Linked DNA regions of Neurospora crassa OR74A. The protein of the gene in region 7 purifies or fractionates together with the protein of the main gene of each other region. This does not show direct contact. Links are inferred from orthologs where the notes say so. Each region holds a gene or a part of one and is shown on either strand. Other genes may lie near its edges.

Region 1 (4,065 bases), on a different chromosome or scaffold from region 7:
CAAGGCGGTCAACTTGCCACCGAACTGGACGAAGACAGCCGTAGCAGTGATGTTGCGAATATAACCAGAAACCTCATCTCCGACGCGAGCACCATCAAGGGTAGTAAGGAACTTGCCTTCCTTGCTAGCCTTGACAAGGCTGGGCTTCTGGGAGAGAATGATGGAACGGCGAGCCTCGTTCTTTTCCAAGATCACCAACTCGGCAAGAGTCTGGTTGACGTGAATTTTCTTGAGGGCAGACTGAGTCTTGCTGACCGACTTGTCCGTCAAGTGAGCGACGGGGAGGATGGCCTTGAGAGAGCTATCGGCAAGCTCAACAAAAACATCGTCGTCAGTTTTCTGCGTGACCTTAGCCGACACCACATCACCGATCTGAAGCTTCTTGAGGGCCAACTGCTTCTCAAGACCAAAGGCAGATGGGTCCTTGCAAGAAACAATAAGCTTGGCGGCATCGGGGTCGAAGCTGATGACGTAGATGCTGACAGTCTGGCCAACGCGGAAGTGCTCCTTGGGATCCTGAATGTAGGCCTCGCTCATCTCAGAAACTGGCAAGAAACCACGGAGCCTGCCGTAGAACTGCACAATCGCACCGTGCTGCAAGACGTTGATGATGGTACCGAGCGCCTGTTGGCCAACAGCAATTTGCTCATACGATTGGATGGCAGGAAGATCGGAATTGACGAGCGTCTTCTTGAGAGTAAGGCGGATCTGGCGAGAGGCAGCGTCAGTCGAGAGCACACGCGCCTTCACCTTCAGGCCTTCCCTGAACTTCTTCTCGGGGTTCTGAAGGTGAACGTCAGCGAAGTGCATCTCGGGGACCAAGCCAGAGATACCGTCAGCAATCTTGACAATAAGGCCACCAACACCGGCGGCGTTGACCACCATCTTTTCAACCACACCAGAAACAACTGCACCGACAGGAATGTCCTCGATGCGAAGGAATGGCTGCTCAAGAACACTCTTCTCCAAGGAAATGAGATACATGCCATCAAAGGCGTTGTAGCCGACAACCCTACCAGCGTGAACAGATCCCACCTTATAGGGTCCGCTGTTCTCGAAGAGGGCATCAACCTTGCCATCCTTGACGCGGGAGATGTGCACAAACCCAGACACGCCCTCGACACCAACATCGACGTAAAGACCGATCTCAGGCTCGACCTGCTTAACGGTGCACTTCTCCACGATCGTCGAGTGAGGGAGAGCCTGCAATGGCACCACTGGTTGGTCGTCCTTGGAAGCAGTCTTTGGCTTCAACGAGGTAACGTGTTTTAGTACAGAGATACCCAGCTTGGGGTGCTTTGCAGTAGGGAAGTTGCAGATGACTCTGGCCTTCAGACGAGAGCCGACCTTGTATGTGTCTTCAAGATCGATGCCATCCGGACCAGCGCCAGAGTGAACCAGATCAGCGGTGACATCCAGCGATCCCATAATCTTGCCAACAATTCCGTGGCTGGAAACCTCGGACACGAGCACGTCGGCGGCAGTACCGGGGAGGAATGTGTCGATGGTGGTAGCAGTCGAAGGGACGTTCTCGACGTTGCCCATGGTTTCACCCAATGTGGACAACTGAACGACCTTGCCCTTGGCGTTCTTGGTGACGATACAGAGGAGGACGGCACCTGGCTGCAGAGCCTCCTGGGGGATGCTCTTGTCGACCTGCTTGCGAGCAAGGAAACCTTGCAACTTCGAATCGGCGATCTCGATGTCCATAACATAACCGTGGTCCTCCACACTGGCAATGGCGGCCATAACTGTGCTGTTCACAACAACGTCTTGCTCCGCCATACCGGTGTTGGCGAGAGAAGGTTGAAGGGAGAGTTCGATATGGCGCTTGGCCTTTCCAGGGGTGTGTGTAGAAGCCTCGTCGACCGTCGATACAACGTAGGCGCGGACATACTGGCCGATCTGGAAGAGGGATTCGAGGTCAACGTCGTTGTCGTTCTCGTCTTCTGACTCTTCGGCATTGTCGTTACCGGCGCTGGCCTCCAAGCGTTTTGTTAGGGGGGCGGAAATCGCAGTGATGGGGACATGGCCGATAATATTGTTGGGTAGAGCAACGGCGATGTCGAGAGAGTTGATGGCGCAGACGGAACCAAGGACCAAGGAGCCCTTTACCAGACGCTGCGGACAGTTAGTACTTGGATGATAGGACTGAACCCATGAGTGTTCCGGCGCATACCTTGAAGTTGAGACTTTCAACCTTGACGGCGTCCGCATCGGGCTTCGCGGGTGTGTCGTCGGACTTTGACCTCTTCTTGGACTTCTTCTGCTTGCCCTCCTTCTCACCAGCCTTCTTGGCGGTGGCCTTGCTGGATTGCTCCTCGAACAGGGCGTCGTTCTTGGCCTGGACTTGGATTTGCTTGTATTCGAGAGGTGTCAGGATGCTGGCGCCGCCTCTGGGGAACATTGGCTCCTCTTCCTTGAGCAGCGTAGATGTAGCCGGGGCGGTAGGAGCAGGAGGAGCAGGCTTGTCGGACTTGGGAGCCGGCTTGTTGCCCTGCTTGCCCGTCTTTGCGCCCGCCTTGCTGCCGGCATCGTTGGACTTTGGTCTCTTTGACGGTCTCGATTCGGAGGCTGATTGTGTTGATTTGTTGACTGGGGCGCCGCCCGGGCCTTCCTTGCGCTTTTGCGCACCCATTGTGAACTGATGGGTATAAAGAAAGGACCTGATGGATGGACGGATGTGTTTGGAGTTGCAATTGGAGAGATACCCGCACTGGATCCCTCGTCCCTTTGCCCGCCTTCACACTTCAGAATGAATCGACAAGCACTGACAAAAACTGACCCAGGCCGCTTCCACTGTCCGCTGCCGAAAATTTTTGGTGGGTCCGTCGCCGTTCACCGTGGCCAGATAACGATAAGGAATGCGGTGAGCATCGGCTACGATTCTGCCATCTCTAGGTACGCGGGCCGCGTGCATGTCGGTTCGTTGCGGGTTCTGAGTCTTGCGGGGTTCCCCTGTAGGGGTACTAGCAGCGCCTGTCTTGTGTCCACGAGTGCCACGGCGTCAGCTGACAGGACGCTGTCACGTTCATGGCCAGGTACGTACCGAACCTTTTGCACGGGCGGAGACGGGCAGCCAACGGGCCAGCCGCATGCGTTGCAGGGAAGTACACGGTAAGTAGAGGTAGGGTACTGAAGGCCGTTAGGTACCTACACCCTAGAGATAGAGGGGATTGCTGAGAACGTGCTATCAATGAGTTACCTATTGGCCATTGCGAGGTACATATAATTCTCCAAGGCGGGATGTACAATTGTCTAGAGGTACCTACCTACACTTAACATGTCGTCTGATGTTAGGATCGTACGGTATTGGAATATCATTCTAGTCTGATGGAAGAATGAATTTGATACTACACTAGACCATCAAGTAGGTACTTGTAATAACATCAGCATTCGTTCACATGGTCCCCCTCTCCAGGTAATAAAGTGTAGGTACTTCGTTACCTATCCGGTTCCCCTGGACTGTGCGCTACCTGGCAAATGACGTACATGCATCCGAGCTGGAGCCTTTGATAATGGATGAAAGCGCTCCCTCCCCGCCGGCGGTACCCGTGTAGTGTAAGTAGAAGTACACATCGGATTTGTAGCCTGAGCGGTGCCTCGTCGGCTTGTCGACTTGTCCCTACGGTATAGGCGCCACGCAATACTCGTCGCATGCCCATTTTCGATCCTTTCAACTTGACGAAATAAACGGCAATGTGGCCAAAGTTTGCCCTATAATCTTAGGGGACTGGAATCTGTTAGGTTGTTGGCCTTGCTCGCCATGGTCTTCACCATGGGTCGTCGAAAAAAGGCGAAACCAAACCCTCCAACCGAGCCGGCGGATGGTAGTGCTGTCACCGAGTCCTCAACGTCCACATCCGATATGCCGCCGAAATCGTCCTCGAGCCTAGCAGCCTCTATATGGCGTTCAAAAGCCGTTCCAATGCCGACCGCTTCGAACCCACCTTCGTCGACGACGACCTCGACACCTGATAATGCTCTATCAACATCCCAGCCCAATGCGACCGCAAATACAACTCCTATTTCGAGCAAGCGAGGGCTGAAAGAGGTAGCCTATTT
Region 2 (3,465 bases), on a different chromosome or scaffold from region 7:
GATGGCATGGGTGCTGAGACCTTCGTGGTTTTTGGGCTATGGGTGTTGGGTGCGGAGGATGGAGGTCGAAGAATGGAGGAGTGGAGGAGAGAAGGACAAGAACGGCGACACATTTTAGTATCCAGTGTCGTGCTTTCCAAAATATAAGTTGCGGTCACCATTTGTTCTTCTTCTTTTTCTTTGCCCCTCTTCAATGGTTTTGAACAACTGACAAGCTATCGAAAGAAGGCTTCCACGCTTTCTGGCTTGGTAACGACGCACTCGGCGCCTGTTACTGAGAGAGGTAGGGTAGGAAAACAGCTTGCTCTCCTGTGCTTTCCGTTTCCCTGTTACTCCAAGGACTCGGTCCCGTAGGTCACTGACCACTCCCCCGATCCATGGTTTTATTATAAAAGACATCTCGATGCGGTAGGTCTGGTATTGTCAGCAATTGCTTCTCAGCAATGTTTGAGCAACGTGACGAAGAGAACAACATCCGACGCTCAAGCAATCCAAACGAAAGATGATTATGGTTCGATTCCTGGCAAAAGTGGCAGCCAGATTCATTGGCTTTTATGATTGTGCAAATCCTAGCATCCAGATCAATGGTATTTCCACGACAAATGGAACAAAACAAAGAATTTTTAAAAAACGACATTTTCCCAATCCCCAAAAAACGCCCCGTACGCCGATGATTTCTGTGCGTGTTCGCAATAATAACACACGTCTAAGAGAAGTGAATACCCTCCTCGTGGAACGCTGTCAGGAGTGTTAGCGAGGTTGTCCATCAGAAAGGGAAGCCGAGGGGGAAGAAAACGTACCAAGCAACAGCTTGAGGAAATCGTTCTGATCGCACTGCCTAGCTCTCTTGTCCGCCAAACCGGTGCTCGTAAGCACCTTGTTCAACTTGGCCTTGACTATCAAGGCCACCTTGGACTTGGGGTTCTTGCTAGGTGTCTTGGCGTCCTTAGCGTTGGCGTCGTTTTGCTCCTTGAAGAAGACGGGCATGTCCTCGTCCTCATCCTCCTCCATAGCCTCGTCATCGTCGTTGTTCTCTTCGTTATCATTGTCTTCGTTGTCGTCGTCCATCTCGACGTCCATGGCATCGTTGGTGGCGCCGGCGGCAGCAAGGTCAGCCGCGGAAGCGAGGGACTCGTCGATGGGGATGTTGTTGAGGGTGCAGTAGACTTTGTAGTTCTGGAAACGAAGTGGTCAGTAAGAGTTGGAGCTTGTGAACACATGGGAAGAAACGTACCCTCTCGCACATGTTGAGGACCTCCTTCTGGTTGAAGCCGGCATAAAGGGTCTTGTTCTTGCGGTTGAAAGCAATGCGAAGGAGACCGTCGAACTCCTCAAAAGCAATGTTGGGGCGCGCCGAACCAACAAGGGGCTCAATTCTGACGACGTCGGACTCGACCTTGGGAGGAGGCTTGAAGTTCTGCTTGCCGACCTTCATGATGTGCTTGCATGTGGCCCAGAAGTTGACATTGACACTCAATCTCGAGTAGAGAGCATCACCCGGCCGAGCCACCAGTCTCTTTGCGAATTCTCTTTGAAACATGAGTACGGCGACGCGGGGCGGGTTGGGCATGGCCAACATCTTGAAGATGAGCGGACTGGAAATTTGGTAGGGAGTGTTGGAGATGAGAGCGTCGCATGGAGGCATTTCGGGCATCTTGATGACATCGCCGAGAATGACCTCGAGCTTCTTGGCTAGCGGAGTGCCCTGGACACGCTTGGTAACTTCGGCACCCATACGAGGATCGAGCTCGATGGCGATGACCTTCTTTGCCTTTTCAAGGGCGCGGACCGTGATGTTGCCGGTACCGGGACCGACTTCGACGACGACATCGGTGGGCTTGAGGAAGGCCTTGTCGACAATGGCATCCGAGATACCGGGGTTCTTGAGGATATGCTGGCCAAAGTCCTTGTCGAACTTGAAGATGTTGGTGTTGGTAGCCTTGCCGCCGCCGCCGCCCCCCTTGCGATCGTAGGGGTTGCCGCCGCCCCCCGACTTCTTGGACGCCTTCGCTGCCTTGGGCATGGTGTAGTCTAGTCAATGCTGTCGTGGGTAGGTGTGTGGAGGAAGACGACTCGGAATCGAGGTCGGACGAGAAGGTTGGGGGATCGATGGAGGGTTTCGTCGTTTCGGTCGATCTCTGTCCGGGTCGAGACTTGGGCGGTTCGTTCTCAAGTCACGGCAGTCGCGCAATGGCTGTAGTATGTACCTCTATTGTGAGACGGACAGAGGTACCGCAGGCTGAAGAGAGCTTCCTTGTGCCTGCGCCGGACCCCGGCCGACATCTTTTTTTTGAGTGGATCAGGCGGCAGAAAAAAAGATGCCCCGCCAGACATGTGGCTGATAAGATAAGCAAAAGGCTGACCGCTTTCCCCATTGAGACACCATGCGGGCGGCGGCGGCGGCCCAGCCCACTGGAAACATCAGTGGAATCCAGGCACCTCGGCCACTTCCGACCGATGATTCCCCGTCTGACGTAACAGCGGAGGCCGCCCTAAACATGTGCGGCGGGTTCAAATTGCTACCCAGCACTTAAACGGCAAATCCTCCGGTCTTTCAGTGAGGGTCTTCCCCGTCATCACCTAACTGCCGTGTGAAGCTGATCACATCGAAGCAGACAGGCAGTGGCTTTGAATTTTCATCTACCTACCTATAATACCAACCCCCTCCCAAGGTTCGAGGAAATCGGATTGTAAAAAAAAAATAACAGATTCTTTTCCATCATCTTCTCCTTGGCTCATACCTGGGCGTGTGACCCACTGGTTATTCCTTGTTGTTTTGGTTCATGTGGTGATAGCCTCATTTCTCTGTTGAAGTTGACGATAATCAATCGCAACCATGTCGATACGGATCGCCCTCGAAAACCCTCCCGAGTTCTACACAAACCTGGATATTATCCGCGGCCAGGTCGTCCTCACTCTCAGTCGTCCCGAACAGATCGGAGGCATCATCGTCAAACTCGAGGGTGAAGCCAAGTCGGCCTTGGGAGTACCCGCCGATGGCTCAGGGACCGGCATTGCTCAGAGGGAGCGCACTCCAACCGGCGATGTTATCTACGAGAACCACAAGATCCTATACAAAGTCACCCAGGCCTTTCCCGACGAGAAGACCAACGCCTTGCCACAGCCCTATGTCCTAGCCGCTGGTCAACACAGATTCCCCTTCCAGTTCAAGTTTCCCTTCAACAATGCTTGTGGTGATCCTGTCGCCATGGCCAAACTAGGAGGCCTTTCTGGTGCCGGTGGAATCGCGTCGGGTTCTGGCTTGTTCGGTCTCGGTGGCATTCGTGTTATGGACGGCACCAAGCAGCTGATGTACTCCCATGTCACAAAGACGCTCCCACCCAGTTTCACCGGATTCCCAGGCCAGTGCGAGATTCGATACTATGTCAAGGTTACCATTCAGAGACCGGGCTTTTTCAAGGAGAACTGGAGGATGCAGACCGGCTTGAAATTCCTTCCTATTGA
Region 3 (4,048 bases), about 2.3 Mb from region 7:
TTTCATTTATAAAAAAAAAATTTCAAAGAAAATATTAGCAACACTACATTTTACACATCTTTCCTGTTACCACTGGGTTGTGTGTTCCTGGAGCACAAGCATTGTAGATCATTCAAACCCAAAAGATCCAATTCACAAATTTGCAAGGCACAGCAAAGGCGGGGAGTGCTCCAGTGCGCGTTCATACGAACAGTCTCGGGAGTAAATGCCAGGCTGACGGCAACTGGGATAACCATTTCATATCCACAGGTGATATGGTCCTGCAGCCCATGATCCAATCGGTCTGAAGACCCAGTGGCCAAACGCCAATGCCCAGGGTGTTACTTTCCGCGGTTTATTGGCCGAATGAAGAATGCCATGTGAGATACATCAAGGCCTGTACGCTTCTTGTACATTGCGAGTACACGGCACTATTCGTCAGGCTTTCAAATGGCCATGGAAAGAGATACAGGCACGTGAAAATGAAATCAAACGAGCTTACGCAGCAAGGGAGACACATTGTTTTGCAAATGCTTTATTTGGGAGAATAAAGGCATTGGGAAGGAGAGGAGGGTAGTGAGGCGTCGCAGTCCGAAAAACGAGCAACCCACGAAAACACTGACCTGTGGTAGATGGCTACTAGGTAGTAGTGCTGATATCGTGTAAGCAAAAAAGAAGGATGACAAAACATGGTTCCAGTGCGTCACTTCCCATTCTCTACCACTGATACTAACTGGGCAAGTCGCTACTTGCCCTTCTTTCCGTCATGGCAATGTCTGAGTTGGAATGGCGCATGGCAAGCGTTCGCTCGACAAAAAATTGCGTTTCACTTGACCCGAGAACTTTGTATCCGCAAGAAGATAGTATTGACTAGCTAAGGCTGGACGTATGAAAGAGCTAGGAAGAGGCGAAGAAGAGTATATGACGAAAGGAGAGGAGGGAAGGCAGGCCAGGTTGAATGGTCTTGCGTAGACGATGAAAGCGTCTTGAGTCCGTTGTTGAACGCCCCATGTTTTGGTTGCAAAAACAGCGACAGCGCAATCACAGGCGACCCAAGTTCCGGAGGCTCTAGCCCGCAAAATCGCGATGTTGTATCACGAAGCTGGCCAAAGCCCCCGCAGCCTCTCTCACGCGTGAGAAAGGCAAACAGACCTTTCACCCATCCCTCCATGTTCCTCACCACGGTTTGATTGTCGATTAAATGATGTCCCACGCATCCTCAGCGGCGTGACAGAACTTGCTGCACGCTACGCTGGCTGACAAGCTATAATTGCTGATGGAAATCTTCTCATCGACATACTCATCCGCAAAGTTATCGGCGCCCTTGGCCATGGCGCCTACAAAGACGCAAATGCTCTCATTCTCGCCCAAAGCGTCGATGTACTCGCGAACGCGCACAACGGGGGCGTCGAAGCTGAGCGTAATCTTGCGGCAGTTGGGAGGCAGGTGGTCCGTAATAGGGTTCTGAATCACCTTCAAGAGCTTTTCCTGTGAGTTGGTTCCCTTGATGGACAGACGATGGAGAAGCTGGACCATGAGACCAGCGAAGCGCTTGAAAGTGCGGGGTATACGGACAGCAGGCGAGACCTCGATCAGGACCCCTTTGGCGGTCTGGATATAGATCTGCAGCCTGCCGGCCTTGTTGACGGGCGAGTCAAGGAGCGTGAGGAGGCACTAGAGTACACAAATGGCGAGTGTCAGTAGCAGTATCCGCATGTTGAATGCAGACTGGGAGTGTTTCCAACCTGGTGAGTAATGTCGGGGCGAGCGTCACTGATATCTCTGTTCATCTTGCGCATGACACCAATGTGCTCATCGCTATTGAGGAGCGAGTATTTTTCCTCTCGCTGCATGCCCATGCGGCCAGAGCCGCCGTGGGACGCCTTGTAGGTCTCGAGACTGGCGTTGGAGAGTACCACGATGAGCCTCTTAGTATCCTTGTCGGTAGGTGGGATGGGCATGTGCTGCTCAGCAACGAGTTGGGGCAGTGCCGGAGGAGGGAGCGACTGGGTGCCTGCCATGGTCACGTCGTGGTTAGACATGTTGAAAACCTGAAGCTCACTCAATAATCGAATAACCAAATGTCCGGGGGCAACGACAGGTAGGAGAAATGGCAGGCGGCGGCGCTGGTAGAAACGGTAGGTTTGATGATAGTTGCTGATATGGTCGTCGTGATGGTGCTAGGGACGGGACGATGGATGATGTGTAGCCAAGAGAACGCAAGAATGGAGACAAGACGGCCTTTCGAGTTTTCGAGCGAAAAAAACGAAATGGCATTGGCCACCATTGGCGATCAGTCAAAAGAGAGTGGGGTACCGAAGTTCCAGGCTTCCCGGGCCCCTCTTTCCGTGTACAGTAGTAGTACGTCTTTGCGGCGTCTTTCCCGTCAGGGTGTTCCCGTCGATTTTTTTGTTTGATTTTTTTTGGTCCTCTGCGCTGCGCATGCGCTATGATGCTTGGCAACAACGGAACCGGGACACACGCAGCAATACAGCTTGGGAACGCTCAAGCCCGCCCCTCAAACCTCCGAAAAACTTCATACCTCGAGCGCCGCAACACCTCGCATTCAGGGCCCAAACCAAAATGATTATCTGACATAGAAGAGATTAAAAGGTCGAGGAGGGTACTTACGAGGCCGCTTGCCAGCACGGGGGTGTTCTGGGGAAGATGATCCGGACGACATGGTGGCAGGGGAGCACGGAGCAAAGACAACGATGGAAAACCAAATGGACCCTTGATGGCAGCAAGATTGAAGCGGAAAAGTTGGAGGAAGAACGAGACGAGAGCCCAGAGCGCGGGTGCGCGGGCGCACGTGCCCTTTTATATGTTCACGAAGCTCGATAACACGACCTGGATAAACCGACTGTGTGGGGCCATACGAACTGAGAGCAGTCAGCCCCTACCCCAAGCTTGGCATTGATATCGCGCGCCGGCAACCATCAGTCCTCACAAGAAAGCATCGTTTGAAATAGTCTCAGTCAGACCCACAACCTCCAAAACCACCCCACCCCACCCGTTTCTGCGGTAGCAGGTCTGAGCCAATTTTGAGCATTTCGGCCGTCAGCCGCTGTAGGACCCAACTATATATTATTATATATTATAAATTCAAGGAAGCTAGTAAAGATAAATAAAAATTACTCTTATATAGAACATTTTATTCTGATTCCAATGGTAGCCTTAGTTCCCTCATACGACTAAAAATCGTCGAAATACAAGGCTTTGAACTTTTGGACTTTTACCCCCTCAAGGCTACATTACTTTAATGGGTGGTCCGAGCTTTATAAAAATGGTACCGTCAGAACCGCCTTCCCAAGGCTTACCCTCTAGGCTAGCCGTTAGCTTCTAGTTCTTCCTTCTACATCATTTTTCATAACGCTTTCAAATATCATCATACTATTATTTACAGAGCGCTCCAATTACCCGTATCAAATAGTAGCTACAATTAAAAATTAATTAACCAAACTAAACCCCTTTCAATTAGAACCTTTAACTAAGTAAACTAATTAATCTTCAAACGGTTCATTAAACCTCTAATCGCAAAGACCCTATATCGCTCAACACCAACCCTGCAATCGCAAACAATAATAACAATCCTTTACTATTATATCTCTAAATCCTTCCCAATCCTTCCCTTATACCTTCTCCCCGCGCTTCCTAATTATACTATACCAATTTACTTGTATTGGTTCGTATTAATTAAAATATTATATTATACTACCCTAATCCGAATACCTACAGACCTCAATATAAAGGGTAACCCCGTCTACCAATTACTCAATTCTTAAACGTATTTCTACTCCTACTTCTTATCTATACTCCTACTAAGTACTTTCTTTATTCTCAATACTATTATTCATTAATAATTGTAATTAAATATACTATAATCTAAAAGCTAATTTCAATACTATAGCTAACTATAATTTAACTAACCCCGGCCTAGCTAATAATCCGCCTAATAATTTATTAATATATAATAATTTATTTTAATAAGAAAATTACTTTACTAATAACTTTAATAACCTAATTAATTATAATAGTACTATCGTCGGATAAACGAACTATCCTTCAA
Region 4 (3,969 bases), on a different chromosome or scaffold from region 7:
AGTCTCCTTAGCAGCGCTCGCCTGACCGAGGAGGTAGTCAACCATGTAGACGTTTTCATCGGCCAACTTCCTGATCTCATCCCTCATCTTGGAAACAGCCCTTGCGACAACACGAAGCTCAACATCGACCTTGCCGCGGTTGGCAGACAACCACGCGCCGTGCTTGTCGACCAGAGCCTTGATCCAAAGAAGACAGAACTCAACGTGAGGGCTCTGCTCGGTCTGCGCGGCAACGTACCGCAGCAGCCTGGCAACGTACACGTTGGGAAACTGCTCGACCACCAGAGGGATGTCGGTGTAAGGGATGGCCTGGAAGACACGCTGGATCAGACCGGCCTCGTTCAAGCGGAAAGCCATGACGAGAGCCTTGAGGTAGTCCTTCTCCTTCTCGAGCACGGCCAGGGTAGAGGTGGGGGTGATCTCCATGTTGAGGTCAAAGGGATCGAACTGGATGGTGGTGTCCAGGCTGTAGATCAAAAGACCTTCTGTGGAGGCGGCGCAGAAAGCACTTCCGTTCGGGGAGAAGGCAACGCCGTTTACTCTCACTTCGGGATTCTTCCTCCGTGCGGAGGGGTCGCCGCGCTTGGAGCCTGGGAGTGACCTGTCTATCCTGTCCTCGAAATCGGAGGCCTCGCCTTGCTCGTCCAGGAGACCCTGGGGTCCAGCCTCGGTGAGAAGCTTGCTGTTGAGGAACTCTTGAGTGCCTTGAATTGAAAGATTGACGCTCACGGTGTACTTCTTCAGGAGAACCATGGTGGTGACGGAGTACAAGCAAATATACTTGCTGTTTCCGCCGGCCAAAAGGCACGATCCGTCTGTGCTGTATCTGATGGTGTTGAAAGCCTTGGTACCGGCAACATTGGCCGCAGTCCTGCGATCACCGATCTTCCGACCGCCGGAGACATCCCTGCGTCCATCAAGACCAGCTTGCTGCTCAGCTTCCGAGACCGACCAGAACGACAGGTTGCCGTCGAGAGTGGAGATGGCAATCTGGAGAGAATCTGGCCTAAAGGCAATGTCGAGAACATCCGAGTTGAGCTGGAGAGGCTCGCTTGTTTGTGTGCGGTTGAAGATGGACCAGATACGGGCAGTGCGGTCCCAACTACCACTCACAAGAAGACCGCCGTTAGGCGCAAAGGCCAAGGATGACACAGGGCCCTCGTGTCCCGAAAGACGATCTAGGAGCTGGCCAGTCTGGACAGACCAAATATGAATGTCGAAAGAGTCAACGGAGCCAGCCGCCACGATTTCGCCACTAGGATCAACTGCCATGCAAGAGAAAGATAGCCTTTCTGGTGCTGTAAAGGTCCTGAAGTTTCTGTATCTGATCAAGTCCCAAGCCCTGATGGAACCGTCCAAACTCGAGGTAAACAGGACATTGCCCTTCTTGGAGAACTCGCAAGCAGTGATGCCGCTCGTGTGCTCTGTGAAGGTAACAATGCAGAATCCCGATTCCGTATCCCACACCTTAATCTTTCCATCATCGGCGACTGTGACAATCCGCTGACCGTCCGGAGAGTAAACGAGGGAGTTCATCGAGTCGAAATGGCCCTGCTGCTTGAGAATGTAAGACTCGGACTGCCACTCCCACACCAAAAGCTGACCAAGCTTGGATGCGCCAAACGCCAGCCACTCGCCGCTCTTGTTGATCGTCACAAAGTCAATTTCGTTCTGGGAGATGCTGAGAGTGTGGATCATGTTGAAGTCGGGCATTTCGTAGAGGCCAAAGATACCGTTCGAGAAACCGGCAACCAGCAAGTTCGATTCGGGATGGAAAGCGGCGCATCGTACGGTGGCGCTGTTCTGCATGAAATAGTGCTTGTTGACTATCCTCCAGGCCAGGTCATCGTCGTCCACCATATCCTCGTCCTGTCCAGGCTTCGCAACGTATTGCCAGTCGAATACGGCGCCGTCCTTGCTGACTGTGTAAATCGTCTCTTGATCCTTGGAAAACCACGCGCCCACGACACCCTGCCTGTGACCGGACAGAACTGTAGGTGTGAACCCCTCCTCTTGATCAACACTCCATATCCTTGCTGTGAGATCCTTGGAAGATGTGAGGAAGAATCGCGAGTCGTGGGACCACTCGATGTGACGGACATCGTCGAAGTGTTGGACGTGGGTATGGTGCTTGACGAAGGGCGCAAACTCGAGCTCGCCGTCGGCGTTGGCGTCGGGTGTTGAGGGAACGTGCCAAACCTCGATTTTCCTGCCGAGTCCAACAATGAAGTGGCGCCCCGATGGCGAAAAGGAGAGAGCCGTTACTGGAGCCTTGAAGGAGAAGTGATATAGTACTACGCGCCGGGGCACGTTGGTGAGAATAGCTTGGCCATCTTCGTCTATGGAGAGTAGGAGGTTGCCCTGGGGCGTGAGACCGATACGCGCAATGTTCTTTCGGTGGGAGAAGGGAAGGGTATATGATTTGTTACTGCGACCGTGTTAGCCAGCTTACAAGCCATGCGCCAGGCAGGTGTGTAGGGAATCTTGAGACGTACTCGACAAGGTTAAAGACTGTCACCCTGTTGCCAACGGGCGAGAAGAGATGGGTACCGTCCGGGCTGAACAAGAGGTTGCCCTGGCAGTAGACTGTGCCCAGTAGATTAGAAAACTTGAAGTCGGTCTTCATTTTCAAACACTATTCCATGCCTCGACTGTCAACGTTGGAGATGGAGCAGAACTGGGATAGTATCTGGGGATTCGATTATGTACAGGAACTGGAGGACTCTTTCGAGTCTGTATAGGTAAGTGGAACAGAAGTTCAGTTACAGGCTGCTGCTGTTGCGCCTAGACCGCCCGTACGTTCAATGGCGATTCTGCCAGCCAAAAATTTCATAAACTTTTTGGCGGGGAATGGAGTCGGGTTAGCTCCTCGCTTTGGCACCAGCTGGCAAAAGACTTGGCGTATCTGGCAGCCTCACCGACCGCAGCGAGACCAACCACTGCACGGCACCACCAAGCACGGTCACCAAGCACAGTGCAAGGCTGGCAGAGCTGGCAATCAAAGGGTCAAAGGGTCGACCAAGTTTCCATGGCAATGAATGGCTGATCACCGCCAATGGCGCTAGCAGGGAAGGCACGCATCGATTAAATGCTCGGCGAGGGTACCTGGCAAGCGCGTTTCAGTGGAGAGCTGCCAGCGTAGGTCCGTCTCTGGGGACCTGGAATTGGGGAAGTGTGGGAAGCAAGTGGAAAAGGGGAGGGTCCACTCATTTCCCTGCCGCGCAGCCAGTCAAGAGCGGCCTTGTGTGGTGGCAGCTCTACACTACTGCAGAATGCCGGGCTCGAAAGGTGCCATTGGATTATATGGATCGTGTACCGTGCGCCTTCTCGGCATCATCACAGACGGCTGCCGTGGCCCCGCCCAGGCACCTCATCTGGAGGATGGAATCGAATGCTGCTTGCTCGCTGCTTGCTCCGTCCGTCTGCTGCCGCGGCCCTGCAGTGCCTGGAGTGCTTGGGGTTCAGTCAGTGTGGGCTAGGTTTGGCCTGGCGCTCCCGTCCCCGTCGCTGGTGCTCTCTCCTGCGTGGGTGTGTGGTGCTGGGTTGGGCCAGATGAATGTGGTGTGGAAATTTGAACAAGTAAATTCCCCTGAACGAAAGCACAGAGCTCCACGACGGGTCCCCCGTCCACTCACCACTGCAGTTCCATCCCCCGTCTGCCTCTCGCTCCCACCCGTCCACTGTCAACACCAACCTAATTTCGATTCCCATTCACGACCACCACCATACCCGTACACCACGCATCCCGCCTGACGCTCTTTTTCTCCAATTGCCGGTGCTTCTTCTCGCCGTTACAGCAACGGGATCGTGACTTAATCCTCTACCCATAATTATCTCCCAGTTTCGTGTTTCGCCCAGCTGAAGATGGCCCCTGCCACTACCGAGAGCGCCTCACCGATTGGCATTGCCAATCTGCCCAACCAGCGACACAAGATTGTTGCTAAGAGAGGCGCTGCTTTTACTATTATG
Region 5 (3,936 bases), on a different chromosome or scaffold from region 7:
TCAATGCTCCCACGCCACCCTCGCCTGCTACAAGCGCCTTTTCTCTGCCGCCCAGCTCGAGCCCCTGTCGCTGTCGGCCCGCCTGCTCCGTCAGTGGGAGCGCAACGGCCAGGCCAAGATCGCCGTGCAAACCAAGACCGAGGATGAGATGCTGGAGCTGATGGCCAAGGCGCGCAGCTTGGGCGTCACTGCTGAGGTGATTCAGGATGCTGGCCGTACGCAGATTGCCTCTGGGTCCAGGACCGTGCTGGGCGTTGGTCCGGCGCCTAAGAGCTTGGTTGATGAGATCACTGGTCACTTGAAGTTGCTGTAAAGGGGGAAGACTTTGTAGCGGGGAGAGGATGGAGAAAGTGTGTTATGTTGACGGTAGCATGAACGTAGATACAAAGAGAAGGACGAGAAGCACGAAAAATGGCGTAACGGGGACGGTATAAAAGTATCATTGGGCTTAGAGAGCGATACAGTCAGGTAAAGACTTTGATGCATGTAAGGCGTAGGTCTTGATTTTTACTTTTGAATAGATTATCAAGCAACAAGATGAGTCTCCACATACACGTAAGCATATCAAGTAAACAAATATAGTATCAGCACAGCATCCGGTCGACTGACCGTCTTTGGTTTCATTAAGTGACTGATTCTGGGTATCATCATGTACTCTGTTCTTCCACCCCTCCCACCAATTTTCATGCTCTACTCTTTCCTCGCAAACCTGGCCAGCGTAGGCCCCAGCTCGGCCACCTTCTCCTTGTGCCTCTCCCCGTTCTTCTCCTGCATCTGCTTGTACATCTCCTCGGCCTTGAGCCGCTTCTCGTCGATAATGTTCTTCTTCTTCTGCTTCCGCAGGTACTTCTTGAGCGCGCTGTTCTTGCCTCTGGCCCGGTTGCGCATCTCCTCCTCCAGATCCGGCGGCCCGGCGTCCAGATCCTTGTCCGCCTCCCGCTGCTTCGCCGACCGCAAATCGAGGGTGCCGATAAAGTTGGGGTCGAGCGCAATCATCTCGGGCGCGAGCTTGTTGAGCAGCTGCTTGACTTCGCCCTCCTGTCTCTGCTTCTTGGTCTCGTACGGGTTGACTTCCAAGGCGTCGAAGTTGGCCTCGCCGGCGCCGGGGATGATGAGGGACGAGAACCCTTCGCTGTGGCCGACACCGAGAACATCGTCAAAGGGGCACCACCGCACCCGCTCGACGCGCTTGCCCTCACCGCCCCACGTCATGTAGGGAGACTGGACCTTTTCTTGTACCGGCTTCTCCTTCGAGAAGAGACCCTTCCAGACCGTTGTCCTGGTGCCCCAGCCGACAGCGGTAAGGCCGGTATCTGAGATGGCGACGGACGAAGCGGGCGCCCGGGTAAAGTAGTTGTTGACCTCCTTGAACATGCGGATATCCCAAACGGCCATCTTGCAGTCCTGTCCTGTTGTCACCATGTAGCGGCCTTCGCGGTCGACAGCCATGGATCGTACGGGACCACGGTGGGCAAGGAGCTTGACCAGAGGTTCTGACGAGTTGGGCGACCATAGCGTTACTGTGCCGTTCTGGTGACCAACATGGAGGATAGCGTTCCAGGGGTTTTGTGTCATGGAAACGGGTGTGCCCAGCTTCGTTGCGATTTCGGTGACGATCTGACCGGTCGATGTGTCCTGGTACTTGAGCTGGCCGTTTGTGCCCAGGGTGGCCAGCAGGAAGTGGTAGGGGAGGAATTCGAGGTGGGAGACTTCGACGTGTTTCCTTAGGCAGTGGAGCTCGACGCCCTGCGAGTCGTAGATGTAGGTGTACTTCTTCTGAGCGACGGCAAAGTATTGGTTGTTGTGTAGCCACTTGACGTCCCTGATGGTCTCTCCCAACTGCAACTCACAGCCCAGCTTGCCGTCTCTCCAGTCCATCGTAGCGACATGGCCCTTTCGTCCTGCCAGAATCAGATCCCGGCCATTCCTCGAAAAATCGCAAATGTAAGGGCCTAGTTGGTCGAGCTTCAAGTCGAACTTTTTCTGGGCGACCTCAATGTTGACTTCGCTGACGATGTCCTCCTGGCGAACCTTGTATGTGCGTTCCTATCGTGACCAGCGCGGTTAGTATCGCGCAAGAGGCTATAAACTCCCAAGCCATGGCTACTCACAAGCTCATGTTCAGCCTCGAGGAAACCGCCGGCATTCTCGAGAAGGATTTCGGCCTCCTTGGCCTTTAGCGTGGCCGTCTGGTACTTTTCTTCGAGGTTGGTAAGGTTGCGCTTGAGCTTTTTGTCCTTGACGTTCTTGACATCGATCTTGCGACCACGGCCGTACGACTTCTCTGCTGCCTTGACTTTGCGGATCTTGTTGGCCTCGGCCTTTGATCGGAACTCGCTTCGGACGTTGTTGATGGCAACGGCGCCGCTGGGCTGCTCTGCCCTCGAGAGGGAGATTTCGGCCCTGTCTGTAGTCTCCATGGTGCCAATGGGTCGACGCGACACAATGGGAATGGGTAATATGTGTGGTGGACTAGGACAGTTGGATCGGCGACGGGATATGGATGGGGGCTGAATATGGAATTGGTCTGGCGGTTTCTCGGTGTGCCCGTGTCTGTCCCTCGCTTTGGCACTTTGAATGTTTCCTTTCCTCGACAACTTTTTTGGGGCCGGACCCACTAAAAAGTTGGATGGGGCAGCTGTTCCGCAGCGATCATTGGCTCCACTGCGTACAAGAGTCCGATAAGATAAGTAGCGAGACGGCCGCCCATGTTCGCACAACTCAAAAAAATGCAACGAGTGCCCCGCCATTGACATTGTCCCCATCACTTTATTCGATACTCGATAGACGGATTGTGACCAGAGAGGTTCTCGAAATCTCTTTTCAGTCCCAACCCCCCAGCCTCTTCTCTTCATCGCCTCCCCAGGTCCAACATCCTGGCGTCAAACTCGCTCCCTTTTCGGTTCAAAGCAGGCGGCGATTCCAGCAATATGCCCGGCGCCGTGAGCGGCCACTCGCATCGGCCGACGACCAAGGCGTCGAACAAGCCCTTCAAGTCACGCCATTCTACCAAGGGTGCTCTCCGGAATGCTGCCAAAGGTACGGATTGCATATAACAGCCGTGCCTCATGCCAAGGTTGTTGCCTTGGACTATGCTCTACTTCACCCAACTTTGGCGCACCAAGCCCAAGCAGACATGAATATACAGCTGCATATAAAGAGGTCGACAACGTCCACACAGCGCTAATACTTTCAACATTCTATAGGCAAGGTAGCCGAGGAGAGAGGTGTGCGCAAGACCCCCCATCAACAAGTCATGTCCAAGTTCGACCGTCGCAACCGTAACAAGCAGCTTCAGCTGCAAAAACACAAGGAACATCTCCAGGAGACCTCCATTTTCGCCGGCAAGGATGGTGCCCCCAGAAACGTGGCCGTTATCCCCCTGTGCAGCGACGGTGACGCTACCGAAGCCATCAAGAGCCTGAACGCCAGCATTGATATCGAGACCGAGGTGCCCGAGGGCGCATTCCGCGTTCCCGTCGACAGATTCAAGCAGAAGCTTCAATACTTCCCCCTCAAGCGCGACCTTACCGCCTGCCTGGACGCTGCCAGAGTCGCCGACTATGTCGTTCTCGTTTTGTCCGCGCAGGAAGAGGTCGATGAACTTGGCGAGCTGATCTTGCGCAGCGTTGAAAGCCAGGGTCTCTCTACCCTCTTCACCGTCGTCCAGGGCCTCAACAAGATCGAGCCCCAAAAGCAGAGACTCTCCGTTCTTTCGTCTCTCAAGTCCTACATCACCCACTTCCACCCCGAACAGGATAAGGTCTTCAGCCTCGACAACAGACAGGAATGCTCCAACCTCATGCGCTCGCTATGCAGCACTACACCCAAGGGCATTCGCTGGAGAGACGAGAGGAGTTGGATGCTTGTGGAGGAGGTCAAGTTTGGTGAGTCTACCGTGCTTACCGGTGTCGTCAGGGGCAAGGGCTTGAAGGC
Region 6 (4,101 bases), on a different chromosome or scaffold from region 7:
ATTTCCTGCTAACAATCCCAGACGCACCTCTTTCTACCCGATATACTGCGGTTCTACCTTAGTAATAACAGACCGATTGAGGCGTTGCGGTTAGCTCAGCAATATGAGCACCTTGAGTACTTTGCGCATGGACTGGAAATACTTCTGCACCATGTCCTGGACGAAGAGGTGGATGCCCATCCTCCGCCTGCTCCAGAACATGCCATCCTCCCACGCGTGCTGTCACTTCTCTCATCGTTCAAGCAGTACTTGGACATTGTGGTGCAGTGTACCCGCAAGACGGAAGTGCGTTCCTGGCGTACTCTGTTCGCCTATCTCCCTCCACCTCAGGAGCTGTTTGAGGAGAGCTTGCAGCGTGGGAGCCTCAAGACTGCTGGCGGCTACTTACTCATCCTCCATACCTTTGACGAACTCGCAACAGCAAGCGAGCAGAGTGTGCGTCTCTTAAGCAGAGCAATGCGCGAGGGCGACTGGGAGCTATGCAAAGAGCTGGCGCGGTTTTTAGCAGCGCTCGATGAAACGGGGGACACGCTGCGTGAAGCAATGGAGCTGGCCAAGATGCGAGTGAAGCAGGAAAGTGAGCTGGAGGATGGCCATGGCAGCGTAGGCAGCGGGCTGGGCACAATGCTTGGAGTTCCTCAGGGTGGTGGTGCTAACGGTGCTTCCAGCACTACCAGCTCATTGATTTCCAATACCAAGGGGATCATAGGTAGTGACTGGGATGCTGACAGGCGCACAATCAGCGACGCCGGCAGCGTTGTCAGTGCTAATCGGTACGAAGGTTAATGAAGTGGATGGAAATTGGAAAGCGGATAGTTGGTTGTAGGATTGTTGGATATCCATAGCCGTGGCGCTCACGATCCTACCAGAACGTCACTTTATGATGAAGCGGGGGTCTTGAGCTCTAGACACATGCTGTAGGGCAACACAGATGTTATAGAAGCCGGGATGTTTCAAGATAATCTAGAACAGCTATAATCACAGGCGACTGGCGTTCTTATCCCCCATTTTTATTTATTTATATATATTTTTTTTGGGTTTTCCGTCTCCAACAATATACCTGCTCAAAAATAAGGCACAAACTGTAGCACTGAACGTCATGACGCCCAATAGAATACCTACCTTAATGACAGAGTACATGCTTCCATCCCCAGTACCTGTGAACGTACAATTAAAGTCATACGCTGGGCCGTTGGGCTGACTGAAGGCCGACGAAAGGTACCCGCCCGCTACCTACCTACCTACCTAGGTAGGTACTTAGGTAGTCAGATGGTCGATTTTGCAGACCTGATAACCTACCTCTGTGTAGTGCCCTGGGTAGGTCGGGACTGCTGATAAACAGACTGCGATGAGCCAGGGGCGGGGGGGCACTGCAACCTGCCCTGCGGGGACCACTGCAACGGCGATGAACCCCCCACCAAAAAAAAAAGTCCCTTGTCATGGACTGTCAGCCTGTTTGGCTCCCGGTCTAGAGTCCAGACCCCCTCGCCTGCCCTGCCGTTGCCCTGCACCAGGGACGGCTTTGAACCCTCTTCCACCTGAACTCCCATCAAACCGTCGCAAAAAAGCATCACAATCCTCTCCAACGTCTTGTCGTCATTGTGCCTTGTGCCAGCTCAATCTCATCCGACTCGGACCTCCCACTCCCCATCTACGGCCCGGCGCGCATTAGTTCGGCCCAACAAAAGGTTCAAACGCCGTACTTGACCCCGGCACCCGGGATTTTGGCCTCGTTGATGCGAAGCGCCAGCCGACGGTCGTTCGCGCCCACTTTCCTCCCACCACCACCTTCCTCCCTTCCTTTTATGCGCCGAGTATAGACGTGGTGTCGCCGGCCATGGATGACTTTGTGAGCGAGTCTGAGAGCGACTATGCCAGCTATTGGCGCGACTGGGTATGCTTCTCTTGCAATTGTTGTTATTGTTTACTACAGTAAAGGTTCCCCAATCATGCTGACATTTGCGCGTCCGCCTGCAGTTTATTTCCTCGCGAGGCAATGAGTACTTTTGCGAAATTGACGAGGACTACATCACTGATAGGTTCAATCTAACTGGTCTCAACACTGAGGTCCAGTACTACCAATATGCTCTCGATCTCATCACCGATGTCTTCGACCTCGACTGCGATGACGACATGCGGGAAACAATAGAGAAGTCTGCTAGGCACCTGTACGGTCTTGTCCATGCTCGATACATTGTCACAACGCGGGGTCTTCAAAAAATGGTCAGTAATCAACTCTCAGCATTCCATCTTCATCCAGCGTCTCCTCGTCTTCATCCGTGACTAACGCACTTCCCACCAACAGTTCGAAAAGTACAAAAAAGCCGACTTTGGCAAGTGCCCGCGCGTCATGTGTTCCTCGCACCCTCTGCTGCCCATGGGTCTCTCGGACGTGCCCAACTCCAAGCCGGTGAAGCTGTACTGCGCGCGTTGCGAGGATATTTACAACCCCAAGTCGTCGCGCCACGCCGCCATTGACGGCGCCTACTTCGGCACCTCGTTCCACAACATCTTCTTTCAGGTATACCCGACCCTGGTGCCCGCCAAGAGCGTCGAGCGCTACATTCCGCGCTGCTACGGCTTCAAGGTGCACGCCGCTGCCGCTCTGGTGCGCTGGCAGAACAGCCAGCGGGACGAGATGCGTAGGCGGCTGAGGAAGCTCGAGGTCGAGAGCGGGTTCAAGGACGCCGAGGACGAGGCTGAGCTTGACGATGATGACGAGGAGGAGGAGGAGGAAGAGGAGGAAGAGGAGGAGCTGGCTGCTATGGATGAGGCTGAAGGTGCCCAACAGCAACATGCGGCGGCGGCGGCAGGTACAGCAACGGGAGGCGTTGCTGCCGGCGGTGAAGGCGTTCATTAGAAAGGGCCTGCTGCTACTGGTGGAGAAGCGGATGAAGAGTATTGGAATTCAGAAGCCACGATTGGAGCCGCCGACGAAGCTGACGATGAAGCTGAGCTACCAAACGAGCCAAACGAGCCGAACCATTGGTTGACACCTCTCATGTCTGCTGCTGCAAGGCTGCGACGGAGTCTCAGGCTAGGGGAGGACTATGAAGAGCAGGCTGAAGTGGAGTTCGATGAGTGGATGGAACAGGCGAGGTACGGGATCTTTTGACTTTTGAGGTGGTGGAATGCATATACCATACAGTATCGAGTAACAAAGTATGAGTACAGGTGCCTCTCTTCTCTTTGTTTTTTTGTTTCTATTCCCGCACCCCATAAGCCTCTACACAGCGGACGTCGGGATCGATGCGAATAAGGGAGAGAGAGCCATTGATAGAGTGTTTATGTTCTTTGGTCTAGCTATACGTCTTTTCGGTTCTTACCAGACGATTTCTTCTCACCTTGCCGGCTTTGCTTCTCTTCGTCTGTGCTGAACTGCACCCTTCTCTGTTTCAAGCCTCCTAAAAACCAATCGTCAAATCGACGGGAAGTTGAACTTAACGCTTGAAAGGCAGTCTCTTGGAGCGTGAAAATTCAAAACGACCAGACCATATATCCAAGCGTCTACTGAGGAAAGATTCACAAGCGGTGTCATGCGGCAACACGAACCTTTCAAATACATGAACTGTTACCACAGCATAAACACGTTGATTAATGCCGAAGACCAGTGTGCTCAAACTTCCCTTGAAGAGTTACCAGGTAGATATGTGTACATATGGATAGGTTCCTCATTTCCCTATCTCAAAACGCCTCCTGAACATAAGAGAGACTGTACCAAAACCCATGTTGGTGACATAAAACCATTTGTTGTTCCTCATATTTCCTCGTTTAGAGAAATAATCGCTTTTGTCATCAAGCCCACCCATCCGGGCCAAGTCCCTACTTCCGGAAAATGCACCTTGACTCTTCTGATCCGACAATGCGTCGAAATTTGCCTTTCATATCTGATCGTCATTTACCCGTCTCTGTAAGCTGTGTCAACCTGTTCTCATTGATCAACGTCAAGCGACGGTGGTTTCCTCCCCGTGATGATCCCACCGGGCTGGTCCGGTCCCACATTGCTTTCCAAACCGGTGCCATTGGCCCGTACCACGGGGTGCCCATAGCTGCTGCCGTGATCTAAAGAATCCGGACTCAGCGCCTCCTCCTCGTCTCCCG
Region 7 (4,017 bases):
GTTCATGAGCGGATCGATCTTGCGCCAGGCTTCGAGACGGGTGGCGATGGCGGAGCGTTCGGACGATGGCATGTCGCTGTTGGTGTCGACGATGAGCGGCTCGGAGCGCCAGTCCCATCTGCTGACGAAGAGGAGGGCGCGGAGAAGGCCGACGGAAGGGGAGGAGGGTGCGTCCCAGGGGTAGGGGCTCAAGAAAGTCTGGAGGGCGACGAGTTCAATGAAGTCGGGGGTGAAGTGGGAGGCGAGTTTGTGTGAGGAGAACCAGTGTTTGAGCAGGCGGACGGTGGGCGAGAAGGCGGGGAAGCGGGTGGCGAAGGTGTTGATGGATTGAGTGTGCAGAGGGAGGTGGTAGTAGAGTCTGCGGAAGTTGGAGAGGAGCACGGAGGCTTGGTGGCGGTGGTGTTGGTCGATGGTCTTGTCGTGCGATTGGCGCGTGAGGAGGGCCTCTTCGAGGTCAGAGTGGATGCGCAGGCGGAAGGCAGGACCGGACTCGTAGACGATGTCGAGGTAGGCGAGGTTCTCGAGTTCCGTGTTGGTGGTGGTAGAGGACTCGAGACCGACGTAAGAGCGGACCTCGCCGGGCTTGGAACGCTCCAGGAGGTCGCCGATCATGCGCAGGAAGGCGATCTTGGTGCGTTGGATGGCCACGATGGATTCGGGCCACTTGCCGGAGGCTTCAAAGGAGATGACGCATTCCAGGGGGCGTGGGCCGGATTTGTTGACGGTCGAGAAGGGCACCTTGACGGAGGCGTGTCGCAGTTCGGGGCAGATGGGGGCTATTTGCCTGACGTGCAGCGGCATGTCGTCCAAGTCGCGGATATCCTTCTCGAAGGAGGAAAAGGCCTTGCGAGCGGCGTTGAAGACGGAGGTGTCGGTCGGCTTGATAGGAATCAACTCGGTGAAGCCATCGCCGTGGAAGGTGAGCTCGTCCTCGAGGTAGCCAACGCGAAGATGGAGCTTGAGGATGTAGCGCATAATTTCCTCGCAGAGGTCAAAGGGGGAGGTGGACGACCAGATCAAGGTCTCCCTGATAGAATCACCCTCGAACCGACGAAGTTCCGATTTCTCACCCCAGAACCGCTGGAACTTGGCGCATTCCTCCTTCTCCTCGTTGCTAGGTCCAGCGGCCGGACCGCGGTCGACAGAGCGGGTCATGTTGGCGGCATTGAAGAGGACACCAATCTCGATTGTGTGGTTCTGCTTGGTGGAGGGTTTCTTGGTGAGATCCCAGGATGAGCTCTTGGGTAGTTGAATGTGAATCGACCGAGCCCTTTCACCTAGTTCTTCGTCCTGAAGAGCCCGCTTGAGAACCCTGTGCACCTTGTCGCTGTATTCCCATAGCCGTCCCCGGCAGTCAATCGGTTCTGTCTTGTCCTGCTTTCCATCGTAGTTGAGGTGGGCAATGAGGTCGTAGTTTTGCCAGGGGAGGTCGGCCTTGAGGATGAAGGTAGGGGTAAACTGGTCGGCAGTGCTGTCGTTGAGAAGGCTCCTTGTCCACTTGGCGTGTTGGTGTAGCTTGGCCGCAGACCAGTTGCTCATCTTGAAGGCAACGTTCAAACCACGAACAGCGTCGAAGAGAACCGGACCAGTGGTTTCGGACTCGACGGTGGCAGTTCCCAAAACACACGGCTTCTCGGACAGGTTAGTAACAGACAAGAACTGGACCATGGCCTTGAACAACTGGGTGGCGCTCAGGGATGTAGACAAGGGCGCATGTCCCTTGGTGCTGTCGCCGCTTTGGAGCAGAAGGGCCAAAAGTACCGCCCATTCAAAGTGACCAAAACCACCGTCCGCCATATCGCTTCCCAGTCCTCGTTGTTGCAACCACACCCGACCCAGGATGCAAGCCTTCTTGAACGCGGCGCATTTCTTTTCGGTTTGTCGCAAGAGCTTCAAGTAGGGAAAGAAGCAGGACTCGGAAACAATCGTCGAGTTGTAGAAGGGCGTAGGCTTGGTCGCGGCCTTGGACTCGTCACCGCCAGCTTTGCGCACGAGGGTAGCGCCCAAGTGAAGCTTTGATTTGGGGAAGAAGTTGTCTGGGGCGCAAGGGATGATGCGCACTCTGTAGTCCAGCTGGCCCTCCTTTTTTTCTCCTTCCACCTTTGGTTTCAACGACAAAATGGGGGACAGGGTGTTCCCATTCAGGTATTCGTATGAAAGCTCTCCATCATCAGCCAGGTCCTTTTGTAGGGCAGCAGCCACAACACCGAGGAAGTAGGCTCTCTTGTAAAAGTATCGCAGGTCGAGGTAGTCCTTCTCTTGCAGAGTCTCGCCGGGGATCACAACCACCATATCCACAGCATGGCTCTTTTGGGCCTTGATCATGGTCTTGGACACATAGCTGCCGACAACGTTGAACTGGGAAGGCTTTGCGAAGGCGACCTTGTAGTTGGACTTGTCGGACGGGCGCGGCTCGGGGAACGGGATCGGGATCTTGTGTTTCTTTTCGAGTTTGGTGGCAGCCTCGGCGATCTGGAGGGCATCGTGGGCTTCGATGGCTTCGATGGAGCCCTTGATCTTGTGGAGGAGGGAGTCGACGCCTTCGAGGGCCGTGGCATAGTCGAGCTTCACTTCGTCGACGAGTTCTTCGGCTTCGAGGATGAATGCGCGGCCACGCGAGAGACCCGAGGAGGCAGCGGCGTCGATGTTGCCAACTGCGCTTTCACCGCCGCGTGAATGGCCAATCTTGCGTCGTTTTGCTGATCCGGGTTCCATTGTATGTGTGGCGGTGGTATAGGTATATGATGGTGATGGTGGAGGAGGATGTCCTGGGAATGGAGACAGGAAATTGATAGTGACAAGACACTGAGAGAGAGAGCACTGAAAGCCAAACAACAGTGGACCGAGCGTCGTCCCTCCAATTGAAGTTCTGCAAATTCGAGTCTCGTTCAAGTTTGCGACGGGAATTCCCAAATTTTTTGAGACTCTGGAGCTCCGATAAGAGATAAGAGGTCAATCCACAAACAGGGGCAGTGGAAGACCCGACAGGGGCAGTCGGGTGGGGCAATGTTGGTTGGTTGCCCCTGTGGGGTTCAACTGACAGACAGTGAGCGCCCGGCCCTTATCTCAGAATCAGACCCTCTTTTTTAGGCATGGGCGGCCTGCGGCCGCTGGGAAAGTGCGCTGCGCGCACATCTGGCCCGTGCGCTGCGCGCCCGGGGTTCTCAAAAAAAATAATAAATTGAAAGTTACTAAAGTTTCTAAATTGTGATCCGTGTACCCATTCTTTTAGTATACTTTCCGGTATTGAATAAGAACGCCTAAAAAAGAGGTTTGAATTCCCAATTAGACTAGAAGCGGATAGGGGAATTTATATTGATAAACTTCTAAGAAAGATAATATAGCGTTAAAATAAAACAATAGATTTAGGTTATACAAAAGATATGAGGAGAAAGAGTTCGTTGAGACGGATTTAATGGTATTATTAATTTTTTTCTACGACTATTGAAAGTATTAATTATTATAGAAAATGTAAAAACTTTACGTAAGTCCGTATATTCAATGCCTAGTTAGCTATATATTACAGTACGGCTTTTTATCCCAATACTATAAAACTTTGTAGGTATAGATATTATACGACTATTAATATAGTAGTATAGTTTTCTTTACTCTATAGTACGTTATTTTTTTTCCTTAATTTTTTCTATCCTCTATAGGTATTAATACTATAGATCCTAATTTCGATCCCTCCGTTGACCCCTAGCGTATATTGCGGGTAATAAAAGATATTATTAGTAATAGTAAAGACCCTCGAAAAGGCTAGGTTAAGGCGGTAGTACGGTTGGCGTACGAATAGAAGGATATAATATTAGTCGCAGTAATGGGCTACGGAAAAAGTATTGTCCTATATATATTTTTAGCTTTATATAATAAAATTACAATATAGATTATACTGTTAATTAAGTTTGGAGAAAGTTAATATAATAATATTATTACTAAAGTGCTAGATTTAAAGCTAGTATAGGTAAATAAAGATGTGACTTTAAAAGTAAGTATTCTGCCCTTTTTTACGAATCT

Evidence for each region.
Region 1: the proteins of NCU09437 (region 7) and NCU06272 purify together in Saccharomyces cerevisiae (affinity purification with mass spectrometry; 3 studies listed by BioGRID). This does not show direct contact. The link is inferred for Neurospora crassa OR74A from reciprocal best matches to the Saccharomyces cerevisiae genes UTP22 and RRP5.
Region 2: the proteins of NCU09437 (region 7) and NCU08968 purify together in Saccharomyces cerevisiae (affinity purification with mass spectrometry, with the first as the bait; 3 studies listed by BioGRID). This does not show direct contact. The link is inferred for Neurospora crassa OR74A from reciprocal best matches to the Saccharomyces cerevisiae genes UTP22 and DIM1.
Region 3: the proteins of NCU09437 (region 7) and NCU02428 purify together in Saccharomyces cerevisiae (affinity purification with mass spectrometry, with the first as the bait; 4 studies listed by BioGRID). This does not show direct contact. The link is inferred for Neurospora crassa OR74A from reciprocal best matches to the Saccharomyces cerevisiae genes UTP22 and EMG1.
Region 4: the proteins of NCU09437 (region 7) and NCU03794 purify together in Saccharomyces cerevisiae (affinity purification with mass spectrometry; 7 studies listed by BioGRID, with this or other methods). This does not show direct contact. The link is inferred for Neurospora crassa OR74A from reciprocal best matches to the Saccharomyces cerevisiae genes UTP22 and PWP2.
Region 5: the proteins of NCU09437 (region 7) and NCU01502 purify together in Saccharomyces cerevisiae (affinity purification with mass spectrometry; 6 studies listed by BioGRID). This does not show direct contact. The link is inferred for Neurospora crassa OR74A from reciprocal best matches to the Saccharomyces cerevisiae genes UTP22 and UTP7.
Region 6: the proteins of NCU09437 (region 7) and ckb-2 purify together in Saccharomyces cerevisiae (affinity purification with mass spectrometry; 4 studies listed by BioGRID). This does not show direct contact. The link is inferred for Neurospora crassa OR74A from reciprocal best matches to the Saccharomyces cerevisiae genes UTP22 and CKB2.

What each region holds. Positions count from the first base shown.
Region 1 is NC_026503.1:2,145,542-2,149,606, reverse strand, and holds the start of NCU06272 (mito ribosomal protein S16), read right to left. Parts: upstream 2,801-4,065; 5' UTR 2,639-2,800; coding exon 2,180-2,638; intron 2,122-2,179; coding exon 1-2,121. Other genes in the region: NCU06271 (hypothetical protein), read left to right, coding at 3,767-4,054.
Region 2 is NC_026505.1:5,864,828-5,868,292, reverse strand, and holds NCU08968 (dimethyladenosine transferase), read right to left. Parts: upstream 2,272-3,465; 5' UTR 2,024-2,271; coding exon 1,235-2,023; intron 1,177-1,234; coding exon 801-1,176; intron 739-800; coding exon 707-738; 3' UTR 501-706; downstream 1-500. Other genes in the region: NCU08969 (hypothetical protein), read left to right, coding at 1-147; NCU08967 (arrestin domain-containing protein), read left to right, coding at 2,837-3,465. UniProt on the Saccharomyces cerevisiae protein: Specifically dimethylates two adjacent adenosines in the loop of a conserved hairpin near the 3'-end of 18S rRNA in the 40S particle.
Region 3 is NC_026507.1:2,521,126-2,525,173, forward strand, and holds NCU02428 (nucleolar essential protein 1), read right to left. Parts: upstream 2,745-4,048; 5' UTR 2,663-2,744; coding exon 2,611-2,662; exon of another isoform or gene 2,022-2,610; coding exon of another isoform or gene 1,994-2,021; coding exon 1,725-1,993; intron 1,654-1,724; coding exon 1,177-1,653; 3' UTR 501-1,176; downstream 1-500. UniProt on the Saccharomyces cerevisiae protein: S-adenosyl-L-methionine-dependent pseudouridine N(1)-methyltransferase that methylates pseudouridine at position 1189 (Psi1189) in 18S rRNA.
Region 4 is NC_026505.1:2,437,194-2,441,162, forward strand, and holds the start of NCU03794 (periodic tryptophan protein 2), read right to left. Parts: upstream 2,801-3,969; 5' UTR 2,627-2,800; coding exon 2,496-2,626; intron 2,429-2,495; coding exon 1-2,428. Other genes in the region: NCU03795 (cell division control protein 12), read left to right, coding at 3,865-3,969. UniProt on the Saccharomyces cerevisiae protein: Required for bud-site selection and cell separation. Also involved in nucleolar processing of pre-18S ribosomal RNA.
Region 5 is NC_026502.1:3,252,765-3,256,700, reverse strand, and holds NCU01502 (small nucleolar ribonucleoprotein complex subunit), read right to left. Parts: upstream 2,571-3,936; 5' UTR 2,421-2,570; coding exon 2,112-2,420; intron 2,047-2,111; coding exon 691-2,046; 3' UTR 501-690; downstream 1-500. Other genes in the region: NCU01501 (mitochondrial peptidyl-tRNA hydrolase Pth2), read left to right, coding at 1-313; NCU01503 (pre-rRNA processing protein Tsr1), read left to right, coding at 2,931-3,039, 3,207-3,936. UniProt on the Saccharomyces cerevisiae protein: Involved in nucleolar processing of pre-18S ribosomal RNA.
Region 6 is NC_026501.1:3,448,477-3,452,577, forward strand, and holds ckb-2 (casein kinase II subunit beta-2), read left to right. Parts: upstream 1-1,463; 5' UTR 1,464-1,837; coding exon 1,838-1,894; intron 1,895-1,977; coding exon 1,978-2,223; intron 2,224-2,305; coding exon 2,306-2,860; 3' UTR 2,861-3,601; downstream 3,602-4,101. Other genes in the region: NCU11228 (DUF1339 domain-containing protein), read left to right, coding at 22-786; NCU02755 (PAP2 domain-containing protein), read right to left, coding at 3,932-4,101. UniProt on the Saccharomyces cerevisiae protein: Regulatory subunit of casein kinase II/CK2.
Region 7 is NC_026507.1:182,558-186,574, forward strand, and holds the start of NCU09437 (hypothetical protein), read right to left. Parts: upstream 2,801-4,017; 5' UTR 2,716-2,800; coding exon 1-2,715. UniProt on the Saccharomyces cerevisiae protein: Involved in nucleolar processing of pre-18S ribosomal RNA and ribosome assembly.